Astyanax mexicanus: one gene and its partner. The protein of the gene in region 2 interacts with the protein of the main gene of each other region in a pairwise test. Links are inferred from orthologs where the notes say so. Each region holds a gene or a part of one and is shown on either strand. Other genes may lie near its edges.

The links.
Region 1: the proteins of jakmip2 (region 2) and zgc:103755 interact in binary tests that used the Homo sapiens proteins (3 or more experiments, as listed by UniProt). The two-hybrid records come from large-scale screens. The link is inferred for Astyanax mexicanus from reciprocal best matches to the Homo sapiens genes JAKMIP2 and CLIP4.

What each region holds. Positions count from the first base shown.
Region 1 is NC_064421.1:10,919,586-10,927,739, reverse strand, and holds the start of zgc:103755 (CAP-Gly domain-containing linker protein 4), read right to left. Parts: upstream 3,542-8,154; 5' UTR 3,442-3,541; coding exon 3,363-3,441; intron 1-3,362.
Region 2 is NC_064424.1:118,484-126,892, forward strand, and holds the start of jakmip2 (janus kinase and microtubule-interacting protein 2), read right to left. Parts: upstream 3,441-8,409; 5' UTR 3,330-3,440; intron 1-3,329. Other genes in the region: prolyl 4-hydroxylase subunit alpha-1, read right to left, coding at 5,949-6,019, 6,421-6,517, 7,743-7,811, 7,902-7,961, 8,113-8,163.

The DNA of each region.
Region 1 (8,154 bases), on a different chromosome or scaffold from region 2:
CACCTGTGGGGATTTCAGTACAGAAAAAGCTTCTTATCTGTGAAGTAAGTGTTTATTAGCTCAGTAAAACACCAGCATTACAATAAATACAAACAGCAATTTTATAAAAAGCAGTGCTTTTACAGCCCTGTTTTCCTTAAAACATTTCCTAATCTCTCCTCCTCATCTGAGTTTAATAGAGTTATTTATTTCTAGTTCTGGTTTGGTAAATTACTGGTAAATGTGGTAAATCAGGTGAGCTGCCGACGGAACTGAACATAATATACACATGCTGGCTGAAGGAAATCATCCAGGAGAAATCGGGAACTACACGTTGTTTTTCAGCTTGGCTCACAGGATAGAACATACTTAGTTAAAAATGAGAATTCCTTGTTACATTTTACTGTTTGTATGTTTATTTGTATCTGTTTAAATCATATGTGGTAATTTTTTTTTCAGGTAAAAACCCTCGTATTGCTGAGATGGATCAGTGTAATTTGCTTTGGTGCCTAAAACTTTTGCACAGTACTGTACATAGTGATATTAACCATACAGGACATTTTGTCAGATTTACACCCTGGAGTAAAATGATACTGGGACAGAATGCTTCTAAATTAAATAAAAAAAAATAAAAGTTGAATAACGAACACATTTGCAGGTTTTCATTCATTTTGCCCTTTTTTAAATAAATCATTTTTGTTTGTTTAGTTTAAATTATTCAGCACTTTTACTTCCATTCAGAGCTGAATATGTCTGTGCATCCCTAATAATAGGTAAATATAAACAGATCAATTAAATAGAGATTAGATCCAACCACTAATACTCTTGTCAATAGTTGCAATCAAGTTCTAGTTACTACAACAAAAGCGACAAAAAACTCGTACACACATCTTGGCACTGGAACTAGTACTGTATCCCATGACTTTTGCCATGTCCTATGGAAGCTAAAGCATGTTGCACTGACCTGCAGGATAATTCACGTCATCTGACCAGTATAGAAAGTCAGTGTGGTATTGTATATTTAAGTACAAGCCAATATAAAACAAGCAGACATCAATCCATCAATCTATTCAACATACTTCAAACCAAACAAATCTCTCTATCTTTTAAAACTCATTATAATGCATCCCCCAGTACAAAGTCATATTTGAGATAACATTCCAGTTGTAAGATAATAGGTTCTGGAAGCACTAATATAATATACTTCATAGTAGGTTGCTAAATGTCGTCTGCAACCACATAAAGACAGTTCTGTTTTGTTGCATGGCCCTCTGAAACCATCTGAAATGGATACGCATAAATCAGGCATGATGTATATAAATACGCATTAACATTTGGATGCATGCGGTAATAAAAGCTCTGGGGATTTAAAGCCATCTTTTAAAAAGAGAAAAGAGAAAAGCTAGGCCTGGCTTCAAACCCATTTCACATCACATAAAGGAAAGAAATATAATGTTATATAAATATATCCTTTATCTTCCAACTCAGACCATTTCAAAAACACCTTGCCACTTGAAGAGTGATTCTGAAACTTTTTAACTGACATACCAGAAAAGATCCCACTTTTTCTGAACAATGTAGCATTAAAATAAGTAAAACTAAGCAAATCTCAGAAATCATTAAACAGAGGAATATAAGAGTGATGTGTGACAACACAGTGGCATCCTCTCAGACCCTAGGTTACTGCTTAACACCTGATGTGTGTACTTATTAAGCACCATTTAGCACTTTTTTGTACCTGGGTATGGACTCTGTTGTGTATGCTTTTTGTGTTACTTCTTTATTAGTATTACTATTATTTTTATTATTTGTGTGCTGTTGGACAAATTAATTTTAATTTTAATAAAGTATCTATCTATCTATCTATCTATCTATCTATCTATCTATCTATCTATCTATCTATCTATCTATCTATCTATCTATCTATCTATCTATCTATCTATCTATCTATCTATCTATCTATCTATCTATCTATCTATCTATCTAGGTTACCGTATTTTTCGCACTATAAGGGTAAGGGAATAAACATCTATTTTCATACATAAGGTGCACCACATTATAAGGCATATTTTATGGTGTTGCAATGTTTTCCTTCTAATTCAGCAGGTCTCGCTGCTGGGGGGGGCAAGACCAGTAGAGCTAAGCTAAGTTAAGTAAACAAAACTGTTATTCTTAAAAAAAAAAAAAAAACATTTCAGACAGAAGTCAGCTAGTTCATGCTAAGTGAATTTAAGAGCAATTTATTTTAGAAACTGAGGAGGAACATGACAATTACAAGTATAAAATTTACTACAATAAAATTAAATAACAAAACTGCACAAATTAAATAAAGTCACAAAATTACATATTTCACTTCTCTGCATATCTCTGCATTCTGAGTACATTAGTAAGAAACGCTGTCTCTTTTTTCCCCACAGTATAAAAGACGAGCACAAACTCAGATGAGCATTTTTTTTTTTTTTTTAATCTTCATTTTTGTTTTTTCAAACTATCCGCGATCTCCCCAGACTCTGTGTTACAACCAATGGAACTGCTAGGATCAGAATTACACATAAAAATAGGAATGCACTCAATGTTTAGAAAATAGTCTGTTCGATTTCACCCCAAAAAAATAAAAAATAAAATAAAAAATAGCATTACAAATTGTAGACCTAGGGCGGCGAGTTTCCCAGCTCGAGTTTTCTAAGCTCTGCCACTATGATCTGGAGATCGCTGGATCGAATCCCGGTCATGCAGCTTGCCATCAGCTGTCAGAGCCCTAGGAAAGCACAATTGACCTTGCTCTCTCTGGGTGGGTAGATGGCGCTCATTCTCTTTATCACCCCTAGGGTTTTAGCCAAAGGGGCCCAATGGGCTCAGCACCCCAAGGGTGATGTCAATCAGCACAAGACGTCTGTGAGCTGATGTATCGGAACCAAGTCACTGTGCTTTTCTTCTGAGCCGCTGGCTACTTGATAATGCTGCATCAGCATTTCGGGGCCTCACTATTGTGTCAGAGCATCACTAATGACTGGGGATATACAGCTGAGTAGCAGCTAAATAAATGGGACAATCGACCTAGCTAATTTGGGGAGAAAAATGTGCGAAACTTTATCTGAAATCTAAACTCTAATTAGGAATACCATCTTAGGATCCCTCGCATGTTGCCAGTGGTACATGTACCACAGTTAGTAACCCAATCCAAAATTATTTTAATCCAAATGCTTATTTAATTCAACAATGTTCCAGCCGTAATTACAATTTATAGGCATATTCACATTCATAAACACCTAAATTATGCTCATGTGTCACAGATCAATACCACAAGTTAAAAAGCCTTAATATGTCACAGCAAAGAAGGAGAAAACGCAGCACAACCAGCTCTCAACACACCTGGAACTCACCAACGCCATCAACAGCACCTACAGCACTCTGAAACTCACTGAGCTGGTGCTCCGTCACGGAGGAAGAACCAACCGACATGGCAGAAGATCCCACAAAGTAAAGTTCAAGCTAGACTAGAGCACAGGGGGAAGGTACACTGTGATCTTCCTGGCCTCTTCTAATAAGCCCTGTGATCAGTGGTGGCTCAGGAGCTATTTCTGGCTCACTGGGATGCCATTCCCCTTACCCTGGCACTTTTACTTACCGAGAAACGTGTGATCCAAGGTAAACAAACACAAAACGAAACACGGCATCAGACGCAGGAGGATCAGATGAAGACGAGATACAAGGGCAACCCTACGAGTCCTATGAAAAATGAGAAATTAAGTAAACTGAGCTGAAGACTCAGGCCCAACTAACAACTCTCACTCTCTCATTAGTCAGAGAAATTCCTCGGGGGTGTGCAACTCTAAGCCTATTCAGTGGCATTGCCCTGGATTTGCTTCTAATTTGGCACTGTCTGCGCGTTGTGCAAACTAACACACAATATCCCTTTTGACAGCAGTCAGTTTTAGGCAATGATCTGAACCAGAGTGTTCCTATTGATTGGCTGTCTTTGCAGGGATTTGTAGCGACACAGTGACACGACAGAAGAAAGCTTTTTCGTTTTGAGCTGGTTTAAAGTTTTAATGACATAATTGTCAATGTGAGTTTGAACAGCCGGACCGGCACCATGAGAAACACACGTGAACATCCACAAAAATAGTCCTGGTTACAGGAAAATTGGAGCTTAAACATGAGATCTGCTAAAAGACATTGCCTCACACCAGTGTGTTCACTCAGCGGCCATTAATCTAAATTTTGAATGAATTAAGGACAATAAAAACCTGGATTAGGCCTGTCACAATAATCACATTATCGACTTATCGAACAATAAATGGACACTACATCAATAATATACAATAATCGTGATATTGCCTATTTGTATTTATTTGAACGTTTGTTCACATATATAAACAGAGTAGGGCTGGACCCGAATATTCGGGTATTCGGATATTCGTTCGTTGAGTAGGTATTCGGTTTTTAATTTTGGTATTCGGATATTCGGTTTTTTTCTCCTTTCCAGAGTTCCACCTCACTCTAACCACTTCTGTTCTCGCGGGTCCCGTCAGAATATCTTGCGCACGGGACAGAACTGAACTGTTATTGGCTGGAGCGGGAGTTTAATCCAGACGATGCGGGAGCAAATTAATAAATAGTTAAGAAAACAATAATATGTAATAATTGTAAAAAAAAAAAAACCTAAAGAAAACTCTCAACGCGCAGGATGGACCGACACACACACGCACACACCGATGGTGTTTGGACTGGGGTAAGGAACGGGACCACACTATTCAGCGCTGCTGTTTTAATAAATATATAAGTAAATTTGAAGCATTAAATGTAGTTTATTTAATTTACATTAGGAACGTGGGGCGGGAGCGGCAGAAATGTGTATGTGGCGGGCGGGCGCGGGATTAAAAGAAGCAATTTTTTTGCGGCGCGGTAACGAGACAGAAACGCGGGAGCGTGGAAGAGTGGGTTTAAAAATCAGTCTCGCGCAGACCTCTATTATACATGATAAAAAAAAAATGCAGGCTCTTCGAAACTGATTTATATAATAAAACGTAAGGGGTAATGTGGCAACAGTAGGGGCTAAATCGGTTACAAAAGCCTGGCCTACAAAAATGATGTCTGAACGAATTTCCTCTTATCTAATATAATTTAAAATGGTTTAAAAATATAAAATAATTTCTAAGCAAACGAAATATTTAATTTTGAGCTTATAGCCCAAGTGCAAAAATACAAAATCAGTAATACGGCTATGCCCTGCACAATGCTTAAACCGAAATAGACCAAGTACAATAACGTCATTAACAATGACTTTCCTCTACTCTAATATAATTTAACATGGTTTAAAAATATAAAATAATTTCTAAACAAACGAAATATTTAATATTGAGCTTATAGCCCAAGTGCAAAAATACAAAATCAGTAATATGCCCTGCACAATCCTTTAACCGAAATAGACCAAGTACAGTTTACAATGACTGTCCTCTAATATAATCAACAATGTTTAAGAATATAAAATACTTCCTGAACAAACGTTTTTTTTGTTTGTTTTTTTAAGCAAATAGCCTAAGTGTGAAAACACAAACAGCAATTTACTGGGCTGGCTTGCGCAGCGGAGAAACCGTGCAGCAGCAGGCTCGGTGTGGGGCAGCAGAAATTCCGGGATGAAAACACAAAGAAATCTGGGCTAAAAACACAGAAAAAATATGGGGTGAAAACACAAAAATCCGGGATAAAAACACCAAAAATCCGGGGTGAATATGTCTCGTCGGTCAGAGCAAATTGAACATTTTTCAGTGGATTAAAGGGGCCGTGATTTGCTTTTTTTTTTTTTTTTTTACCTCTTTTTTTAAAAACGAATATTCAAATATTTGCTTCGAATCAGTGCCGAATATCCGGAGCTCAAAAAACGCTATTCGGGCCAGCCCTAAAACAGAGAACAGTATTTTAGCCAGTCATGCTGTAAAAAAAATAATAATAATAACAGCAACTGCATACACACAGTGTGTACTGCAGTAGGTAAAGAAAGAAAAGAGTTTACATTTCCCAGACTATGGTTATTTAAAATTGTGCTGTATTTAAAACATTTGTATAAACGTCAGTGACATTTAAATGGTCTTAAAATTACAATACTGTTTATCGCAATAATTTCTGAGATAATATATCGTCCACAAAAAAAAGCTATTGTGACAGGCCTAGCCTGGATACAGTTCCATTCCCTTACATTCTATAGAAATGAATCCAAAAATGTTTACCATGTTGTCAAATTTGCACCCAGAGTCTACACAACAGAGATCAGAGATGAAAAAATGCACTCTTTTGTCATTAAAACATATGGGTCTGGTCATATGAAGCTACAGGTCATACTACAACTAGCCAGCAGAGGCACTACACCTGTGGTGGCTTCATATTTGAGTTGCCCAGTCCTTGTTAAATACAGTCATTGGTATGAATGGGGAGGATCATGTCAATTTCAAAATATGTTACATAGTTTGTAGTAGTGCTGGGTGGTTTGACCACAAATGTCGGTATTCTGACGTGTTACGGTATATCACTGTATTTTTATTTTTTATTTAATACAGGTTTAAGATTTACTCTACTGTTAGGAGTACATATAATATCAAACATCAAATATCAAAATAAGGCTTTGATCAGTATTAGGTTTACTGTGTCCCACAAAATAAAACAATATATGAAGAAATCAGACTGAATTAACAAAAAACAGCTAAAGAACGTGAGCAACTTTAACACGTCTTCCTTTTTAAAAATAGCTAAATATTTTAAATAGTTCCATAAACACTATAAACGGACCTAAAATACTCAATGTTTAAGTCAAAAGAGATATTTCTCAAAAGCTCTATTACACAAGTAAGACACAAGCGTAATATCAAACTACTATATGTTATTATTGAAGCCATTAAAGTCAAGAAAAAAATTACTGTAGAAAATGAAGGTCAGGTAATCCAACACATTTTAAAAACTCAAGTGCAGTCCCAAGGACCATCAAAAGTCTACAAAGTTATGATGAAACTGGCTCTCATCAGGACCTTCATATGTGTTCCTTTATAATCTAGATGACTTCAGTATTCATTTACAATGTAGGGGAGAGAATAAAAACATTTAGTGAGAAGGTGTCCAAACTTTTGACTGTTACTATATTTATAACTAATAATCCATTGTAACTTCTAATACATTCTCAGACACATCAATAAGGAAGTCAGATTTTTGGCCTCAGTGTTAGAAATCAGTGAATCAGCTTTAAACACATTAAACAGGTGGGTGGTGTGTATTTACTATGGTGTTGCTGGTGTGGTTTTCTACTGTGGTGCAACAGAAGGAAGGCTGTTCCTATTGGTCAGAAGAGGGAGCTAGTGCTGCAGATATCTATCTCTCTATCCTCTAAACCACAACCTAACAACCCACATATAACCCTGCTGCACATCCTGTTAACATCCTGTTACTATTCTCACCGTCTTTCTGTCTTTACAGGGTGAAGTTAAAACCCATCAGTAACTTTATTCTATATAGCTTTTTTCCCACAGATTTTTATTTATTTATTTGAAGGTTATTTATTTTTATATGAAGGTTCTGTATATGAGAAAAAAGCGAGAACATACACTTTTTTATTAATAAAGATATTTCAGGTGTTTTTTTTTGTTTTGTTTTTTTAAGTGATGCAATAGAAGAACATATTTTGTTTCATAAAATTGCATTAAATAAGAGAAGCGCCTATACATCAAGTAAAGGTGATTAAGACATCAAAAGTAAATAAGTAAGTAATTATTTTAATAAGGGTGCAAAAGTTTAGTTTTCATCTTAAGTGTATGAATATGTCTCTTCCTAAAGACAGGTTTCATAAAGCCTTATATTAGTATGTTTAAAGTTTTTATAAACCTATAATATAAGACATTATGAAAACTCTCTTTATATTCACACACTTGTTTTGTTTAACGTAATGTATATTGCTGTTAGCATATGTATCGTAATACAAACTTTAAACAATCACAATATATTGCTTTGCTTCCAGTATCACAATTTCCTATGATATACTGAATCATATACATATGTATTGTGTATTTTAAGTATTGCATTGTTCGGTTCTAGCCAAAACACAGCCCTATCTATCAAAAATGGTACAATATATATATGTATTTATGTATACAAATATTCCAGATATGCATAATTTAAGATATGACAGAT
Region 2 (8,409 bases):
GCCAAGACACGCCCATTCTACAGCCTCCTGTTTCTGTTCACCTGGAAACCAGACTCAGACTCGTCCCTCAGACTTTCAGACAAAAGACACATGATCCAGAGACCACGCCCCCCCTGCTCATCAGAAACACCAGATATACATACAGGACCATTCAAAAATCTGATTAAACCGTCTTATTCAGTGTTTTTATTTTTTTCATTTTCTACACAGTAAATGAACAGTGAAGTGATCTATCAGATTATGAAGGAACACATAAGGAATCATGTAGAAACTTAAAAACAGTGTTAAACAAACCTAAATACTCTGTGAAGTATTTAGATACTCTTATCTGGGGAGCTGTTTGTTAACTTGTGGTTTCTAAGGCTGGTAATTTTGATAAACTTATCCTGTACAACAGAGGAAACTCTCGCTCTTCTATCCTTTCCTGGGGTGGTCCTGATGAGGGCCATCATAACGAGTTTTATGGTCTGTGTGGTGACTGTACTTAAGGATACTTTCAAAGTTCCTGAAATTCTTCTTTTCGAATTGATTGACCTTCACTTTCAAATATTTTTCTTTATTTAGTTGAGTAGTTGCTGCTTCTCATAATCTGGATTAGAACATTACTCAAATATTCCCTATTCACTGTATACCTGTAACTCTACCTCTTCACTACTTTACTTTAACTGATGCTCTCAAACACTTTATTAAGAGACAAGAAATTCAAGTAATTAACTCTTGATGAGTTCAGCACAGCTGTTAACTGAAAGCCTGAATTCCAGGAGACTCTACCTCATAAAACTGACTGAGAAAATCCAGCAGAGATGTTCAAAACTGATCATCTAAACAAAAGGAGCTACTATGAAGAAAAACATAAAACATATTCTCTTTTTGTTTATAATTTTATTTCAAATTTTTCCACATTTCTCCCCAATTTACACGCCCAATTACCCAACCCACTCACTAGGACTTCCCCTATCACTAGTGATGCCCCAACACACCAGGAGAGTGAAGACTAACACATGCTTCCTCTGATACATGTGAAGTCAGCCACCGCTTCTTTTTGAGCTGCTGCTGATGCTGTAGCATTACCGAGCAGCATCACAGCGCTAACGCTTGGAGGAAAGCGCAGCGACTCGGTTCTGATACATCAGCTCACAGACGCCCTGTGCTGCAGACATCACCCTAGGAGTGATGTGGGGAGAGAGCGCCATCTACTGTACTGTACCCACCCAGAGGGAGCAGGACCAACTGTGCTCACTCTGAGCTTCGGCAGCTTGATGGTAAAGCTGCATGAGCGGGATTCAAACCTGCGACCTCCTGCTCATAGTGGCAGCGCTTTAGACCACTGGACCACTCGGTGCAATATTCTGGTTTGTTTAACACTTTTTTGTTTAGTTAATAAATATTTTTCTTCATAGTTTAGATGAGTTTAGTATTAATCTACAATACAGAACATTTTTAAATAATAAAAAATAGCCAAACTTTTAACTGAACACGGTTCTGCTGAAAAGATTAAGGACATTTTGAAACTCTTTTAACAGGCGTTGTGCTCTGTCGACTTGAGAGGAGAGAGAGGAGAGAGAGGAGCATCCAGATTGTTATCAGTATCAGTTCAGTCTGTATCTCTGATGGTTTGGAGTTGTGGGCAGCTTAGTTTACACATCTGGAAAATAACCATCAATGCTGTTCTAAAGTACAAAGAGGCTTTAGATCAGTACTCTGGGATCTATCTTACACCCTTTGTAAGGCTTGTCGTGATGCTCATTGCTATCTTACCCCCTTTCTCCTGCCTGGTTTAAACAGCAGCAGAGCTTCTGAATATATCTACACTGATGGGCGTGGTGTTCTGGAAATGAGGTGTGTTCAGGTACATTTCTGGAGTTTTATCTTGTTTATCTTGGTAACAGAAAACACAGGAGCTCCACTGACTGAATACAACCTAGACAGATGCCAACAGTCAGACGTTCATCGCTATCTCGGTAACACAGGCGCGCTGAGCCGAGCGTACACCCCCACTTATTACACACACATGAACACACAGCAGGTAATGATAATGATATTATCACGATACTGTGATTCTGTGATACTCGATATTTCACATTTCATGTATCTGTGTTTCTGAAGATACTCCTAAATAATAAAATACCAGGAATTAGTGCTGGAAAATACGAACAAATTTATATCACAGTATTTAAAGTCTCATGATGTGCAGAATTTATCGTGTTTTGTGTTTTTAAAAATCAGATTCTAATCCTCTTTTAATACATTAATATGATTTTAATAAGTTACTGTTGTTTACAAAACAGAAAAAAACTTACTTTGTTTCTATTTAATGTTTAAAACTGTTACACTATAAAAAGTATTAAAAGTTTGACAAGAATATTTTTAACACAAAAACACACTGAAATATTGTGATATTATCTTAGGGCCATAACGCCCAGCCCAGCCCTTAATACCAGCATATTATTATAATTCATCACTGTGGGAATCTGATGTGAAACTTACACAAACATAATATGCAGTATGAACATATATTAGATTGTCATAAATTAAATATATGGTCATACACAGTAAAAACACATATGTACGAAAATATGCAAACTATATACAAAACCTTTTATAATATACCTCTTTATATATTACATAAATTGACATATGTCTGGCCCATATATATATGCATGGTCATGTATGTAAAATACAGTATGGTATGTATCATAGAAATGCTACATATATGATCTACCATAAGAATATGCCTCATATATATTTACAATATGTACACATATAAATATTATAATGGGTATTTCATTCATATATGTTATAAACGAATATCTAGATATATCCAGATAATATATCAGCTATAAATAGATAACATATATGGAAACACCACTCTTGATATAGAGACAGCTATGATATATTTTGTATTCTCATGCTGCAGTTTGTGGGTTTATATGTTGAATCTGCGGCGGATTTGCTGTTTTATTTGTTACGGTAACGTAACGCTAAAACCGCGGCCTGCTGGGTAACGGTACGGATGCGCTTTAAAAATGCCCGGATGCTGAAATACGTGCTACAATATTTTCCTGCGCGCTTTAATAACAGTCTGCTTATAATTTCTGCGCGTTATATTCAGATTTATACAGTAAGAAACAGATATAAATATATACACTGTATCTCAGAGCGCGGAAACCCGTTGGCGTAAACGACCCCCGGTTAGCCCACGAGCCTCACCGGAGCCATGTTCTAACGGTGATAACGATACAATGTATCCTGTTCTATAAATGATATCCCGCGCGACGATACAAATGTACCTATAATACAGTAAAACAAAAGATAAAAGCGCCGCTTACCGAAAACCGAGGAGAACCGGAGAACCGAGGCCCGCCGACCTCAAACCCAAACCCGGATCCACAGCGCGAGAACCGACCCCCCCCGACCCGCTCAGCATCAGCAGCCGCACAATGCAGCCCCGGTCCTCCCATCACACCTGTACTGCGGCAAGCCCCGCCCACACTGCCGCCATTGGCCGGTTAGCTGCTTCCTCCTGCGCTGCTATTGGCCAGTTATTTCTCTGCTGTGGATCTTTAGTGTAGCACATTATTCTCAGTGTTTACACTTCAAAACGATCAGTTTGTCTGATTTTGCTATTTATAGGTTTATGTTTGAGTAAAATGAACATTGTTGTTTTATTCTATAAACTACAGACAACATTTCTCCCAAATTCCAAATAAAAATATTCTCATTTAGAGCATTTATTTACAGAAAATGAAAAATAAAAAAGCTTTCAGACCTCAAATAATGCAAAGAAAACTTCATTTAGAAAATGTTTTTTTTATTTTGCAAAATTGATACAAATTAAATGGCCAAATTGTGCATCTGTGTCATGTGACTCGTTATTATTATTAGAATGAGGATCAGGGCTGTTAAATTTGGTGTTTTGGGTTTAATTCTCTCATACTGACCAATGGATATTCATACAGCAGTTTATCAGGATGGGTTCCTCTCAACTCCATCTGCATTAAACCCTCCTAGAAGGAGCCTCTTCTAAAGCTGGTAAATAAAAAAAAAGCCTGCAAACAGTTTAGTGAAGATGAGCAGTCCAAGAGCCTGGATTACTGCAACCGTGTCCTGTAGTCTGACGAGATCAAGATAAAGGTGTTTGTCTCTGATGGCATCCAGTATGAGTGGTGGTGTCCTGGTGAAGAGTACCAAGACAACTGTCCCTAGTCAAGCATGGTGGTGGTAGCATCATGGTGTAGGGCTGTATGAGAGCTGCCAGCACTGGGGAGCTGAACTCCAACATGTGCTGTAAGATTCTGACACAGAGCGTGATCCTTTACCTCAAGGGAGTAGCAGCAAATTCTGGGTCCTGTACACTCTCAATGTCAGTGCGCCCCTATCCATACCAGTACACAAGAAACTTGAACAAAAAAACAAATCAGGATTTTCATGGGCCCCGCTCCCTACTCGGGCCCTGGGTAGTCAGATCCACTTTTCCCCCCAATACCACGCCTGTGTTTTACCTTCAGAAACTACTGGGCTGTATTGCAGTTTTTCAACACGATAACAACTGCAAACACAAACTCACCTCTCAGAAGAAAACTGCTCTATTGAGCATCTGTGGGGCATCCTCAAACAGAAAGTGGAAGATCCCAAGATCTCTAACATCCACCAGCTACGTGATTATCATGAAAGAGTAAAGGAGGATCCAGATATAACCTGTGAAACTCTGATGAGCTCCACAACCAAGAAAGTTCAGGCAGGACTGGATAATAATGGTGATCACAAAATAATCACATAGTTTTACTTCTGTTGCAGTGGTTTAGACATATTAGAATTATTTTGAGGAACCATAAATTTACACTGTAATAAAAGCTGTAAAATAAATAATTTACACTGTATTAAAGTGTCGTATCCTCAGTGTTTCATATTAAAATATAATAAATATTAATAATAATGTGAGGAGTGTACTTAGTGCTGTGATTTTATTTATCTATTCTCTGAGGAGGCTGTTATTCACGCGCAGTCCTTCTGACGTGTTGAGCTATTAGCCAATCAGGGCGCGGGAAGCGGAAAACGGGCGGGAAATAAAACCCTGTATCTCTGCAGAGAGGGGTTGTAGTGACGCCGCGAGCCCCGCCCTCCGCGCGCTGAGGATGAGCTCACCGTATCACCGAATACAAACCCAGCACTGTATATCTCTCTATCTATATACATACATATATACAAATATATATATAAATATCTCTATATATAATCATCCCGGTACCGGGGATCTGACCGCGCGCAGAACCGGGTTTAACAGAACCGCGGAGACTCTACAGATCTTACCGCGCGGATCGATACTCTACCAATAAACACGCTTAAATCGACCTCTGTATACACACACTATAATATAAGTATGTGTGTGTGTGTGTGCGTGTGTGTCCAAACACCAACATACTGACTAAAACTCTGCAGGACAGACCAATGCTTACAATTATTATTATTATTATCAATATCTTAATATTCTGTCCTCATATAGTATAATACAGTATCTGATTATACATCTGCATCATTTGAGTTACGACAGAAACTAATATTTTAATAATACATTTATCCTGCAACTCCAGCATCAGCTCACCAACCAATCAGCTCACAGTAATGTTAGGGTCTCTATTGTACAAAATCATTTGTTGTAGAAAAATGGAAATACAGAAAGTTCTTTCATTTTTGGTGAAATACACTGTTCTACTTTCTAAAGTTAAAGAAATATCACTGTTTTCTATCACACACCACAGCAGGCAAAATAATATCAATAATCGACAGGTTTTATTATTAGTTCATGATTTACGCAATGATGATTTATTGCATATTACATATTCAACCACCAAAACATACAACTATAAAACTGACCAGCGGTGAGCAGTGATTCTGCGCTGTGGGAGGAAGTATATTGAAGGAGTTTAATCAGTTTAATCTCCTGAGTTTCAGTCAGATCTGGACAGAGAGCACCTCCTCCTGAACTCCTGCCCCCGGATGTGGATCCACTTATTGGCGACTAAAAGATTTAAAACAGTTAAACACATCTGTTTATAAGATTCACAGGAAGCAGAAATAGCTGTGAATATCTCAATAACGTTTGTGTTTTTCCACCCTGGATACTTAACTCTAGTACTAAATATAAAAATTGTTATATGTTATATTCTCAAGTAATATATTAGTATGTATTCAATGTAATTAATGCATTTCATTATTTTCTGAAGCTGTTTGTATAAAGTGTAATAGCTGCTAGCTAATATACAGCCATATACAGTAAAAGTATATGTGCATATATGTGCAAATTATTTATATTTTTATATTATTATGCACCAAGATAATAAAGGCATAAAGTTATGCAAGGAAAGCATGGAGGAAAATTCTGACAAGATGCAGAATTTATAGAATTATTTATAAACTCACCCCATTTACTACCAATAAACACAGGACACGCAGCATGAAGAGTCCTGCTGTCCTCACTTCCGTTCTTCAGCAGATTAAACCAAACCACTGCTGAACCCTGCGTTACAAAAAAAAAATATTTCAGAAAGATATCTCAAGTTATTTTTATGTTTTTTTTTGGTTTTAATTTTATCTTGCTTTTCTCCACAATTTTATCAGTTGATTATCCCTAACACTCATTAGGACTCCCCCCAATCACTAGTGATGCTCCAACACCAGGAGGGTGAAGACCAGCACACACCTCCTTCAATACATGTGAAGTCAGACTCCGCCTCTTTTTGAGCTGCTGCTGATGCTGTAACATTGCCGATTAGCATCACAGCGCTAACGCTTGGAGGAAAGCGCAGCAACTCGGTTCTGATACATCAGCTCACAGACTCAGCCTTGTGCTGATCCACATCACCCTAGGAGTGATGAGGGGAAAGAGAGAGCGCTATCTACTGTACTGTACCCACCCAGAGAGAACAAGGACAACTGTGCTCTCTCGGGGCTCCGGCAGCTGATGGCAAGCTGCACGCGATCTCCAGATCATAGTGGCAGAACTTTAGACCGCTGGACCACTCAGAGCCCCTCATAGTTTATCATGTTTTTGTTTGGTCAAACTGTAGTTTAGGGTCATGCTGAGTAACAGTTACAGAGGTACAGATGAATAAAACGAGCGCCGACTACACGGAATTTTAAACCAATCAAGCTTTTAATGACCTGATTTACTTATCTTTATTTAAATGTTATTTATTTTATCTTTATGCTTTTTACTTTTATTATCCATTTCTCTAAATTACTTCAATTTTTGACTCTTACTCTCTACATTTTATTATTTTAACCTGCTCTTATTCCCCTTGAATTAAGTGATCTGCTTTGTCTTACCTTTAAAAAATTGAATTATTTTTATAATAAGTTGTGTTTAATAGCTGGACTTTGTATCTGCATTCCCTATTTTACATATATTCCACTATATAAATCTGTAAAGCACGTTAAGCTACATGTCTGATGTAGGAAATGTGGTATATAAATAAAGTTTATTTTAATAATTATTAATGAGAAATTAGAAAATGTGATGAAAAGAAAGTACTTGGAGTTCTAAGTTGTACTAAACCACATGTGGAATATATGTGTCTCAATGCGAACCAACCTTAAATATAATAAATATACTAATTATTATCTTCTAATTTAAAAAAAGCAGTACTGACAGTATTTTTTTTTTGGGGGGGGGGGGGTATTTTTGTGATTGGATGTATTATATTGTATTTTTCTAATAAAATTATTTGATAAGATTTTCTGACCTTCTCAGGCTGCAGCGCCGCACCAACATTTGGAAACACAGTAGCTCCGCCCACTTCCACATCACTCAGCTGAGAAATTTATATTAAAATTAATTATCTAAACATCAAATAAACTAAACTGAAAATATGCTCTAAAATATTACCAAATAAAATATTTACATAAATCAACACAGTGGCGATTCTTCCTCCTCTGAGCTGAAAGTAAGAGTCATTATTCACCTGTTGGGTAAAAACAGCAATAATACAGTTAAAATATACTGTATTTATGCGTAATACTGTAATATATATTTACTGACATATTCAGAAAAACTGCACAACTATAATAGAGTATTAAAATTCTCTAGTTTTAATTTTTAGTTGTATAGCTCACTGCAGAGTCGTAATGAGGTTCATATTGTCCTCCAATCCCATAATTTGCAACCTGAAAGAGAAAAATACACATTAAATATGTTTCTAATTCTAATTACGAAATCAAATCATCGTACAACAAATGAAAAAAAATTGCTGACCTCGACATTTTAAATTCTGTTTAAATTCTCATTAACATGAAGTTATCTAGCATAAAAATGGATCCTCTGTCTGGTAATAAAGTAAATTAGAGAACTTTATGGGGAGATTAATAATAGTGTAGTGTGGTTTTACTGTAATATTATTTCTCAGGGTAGAT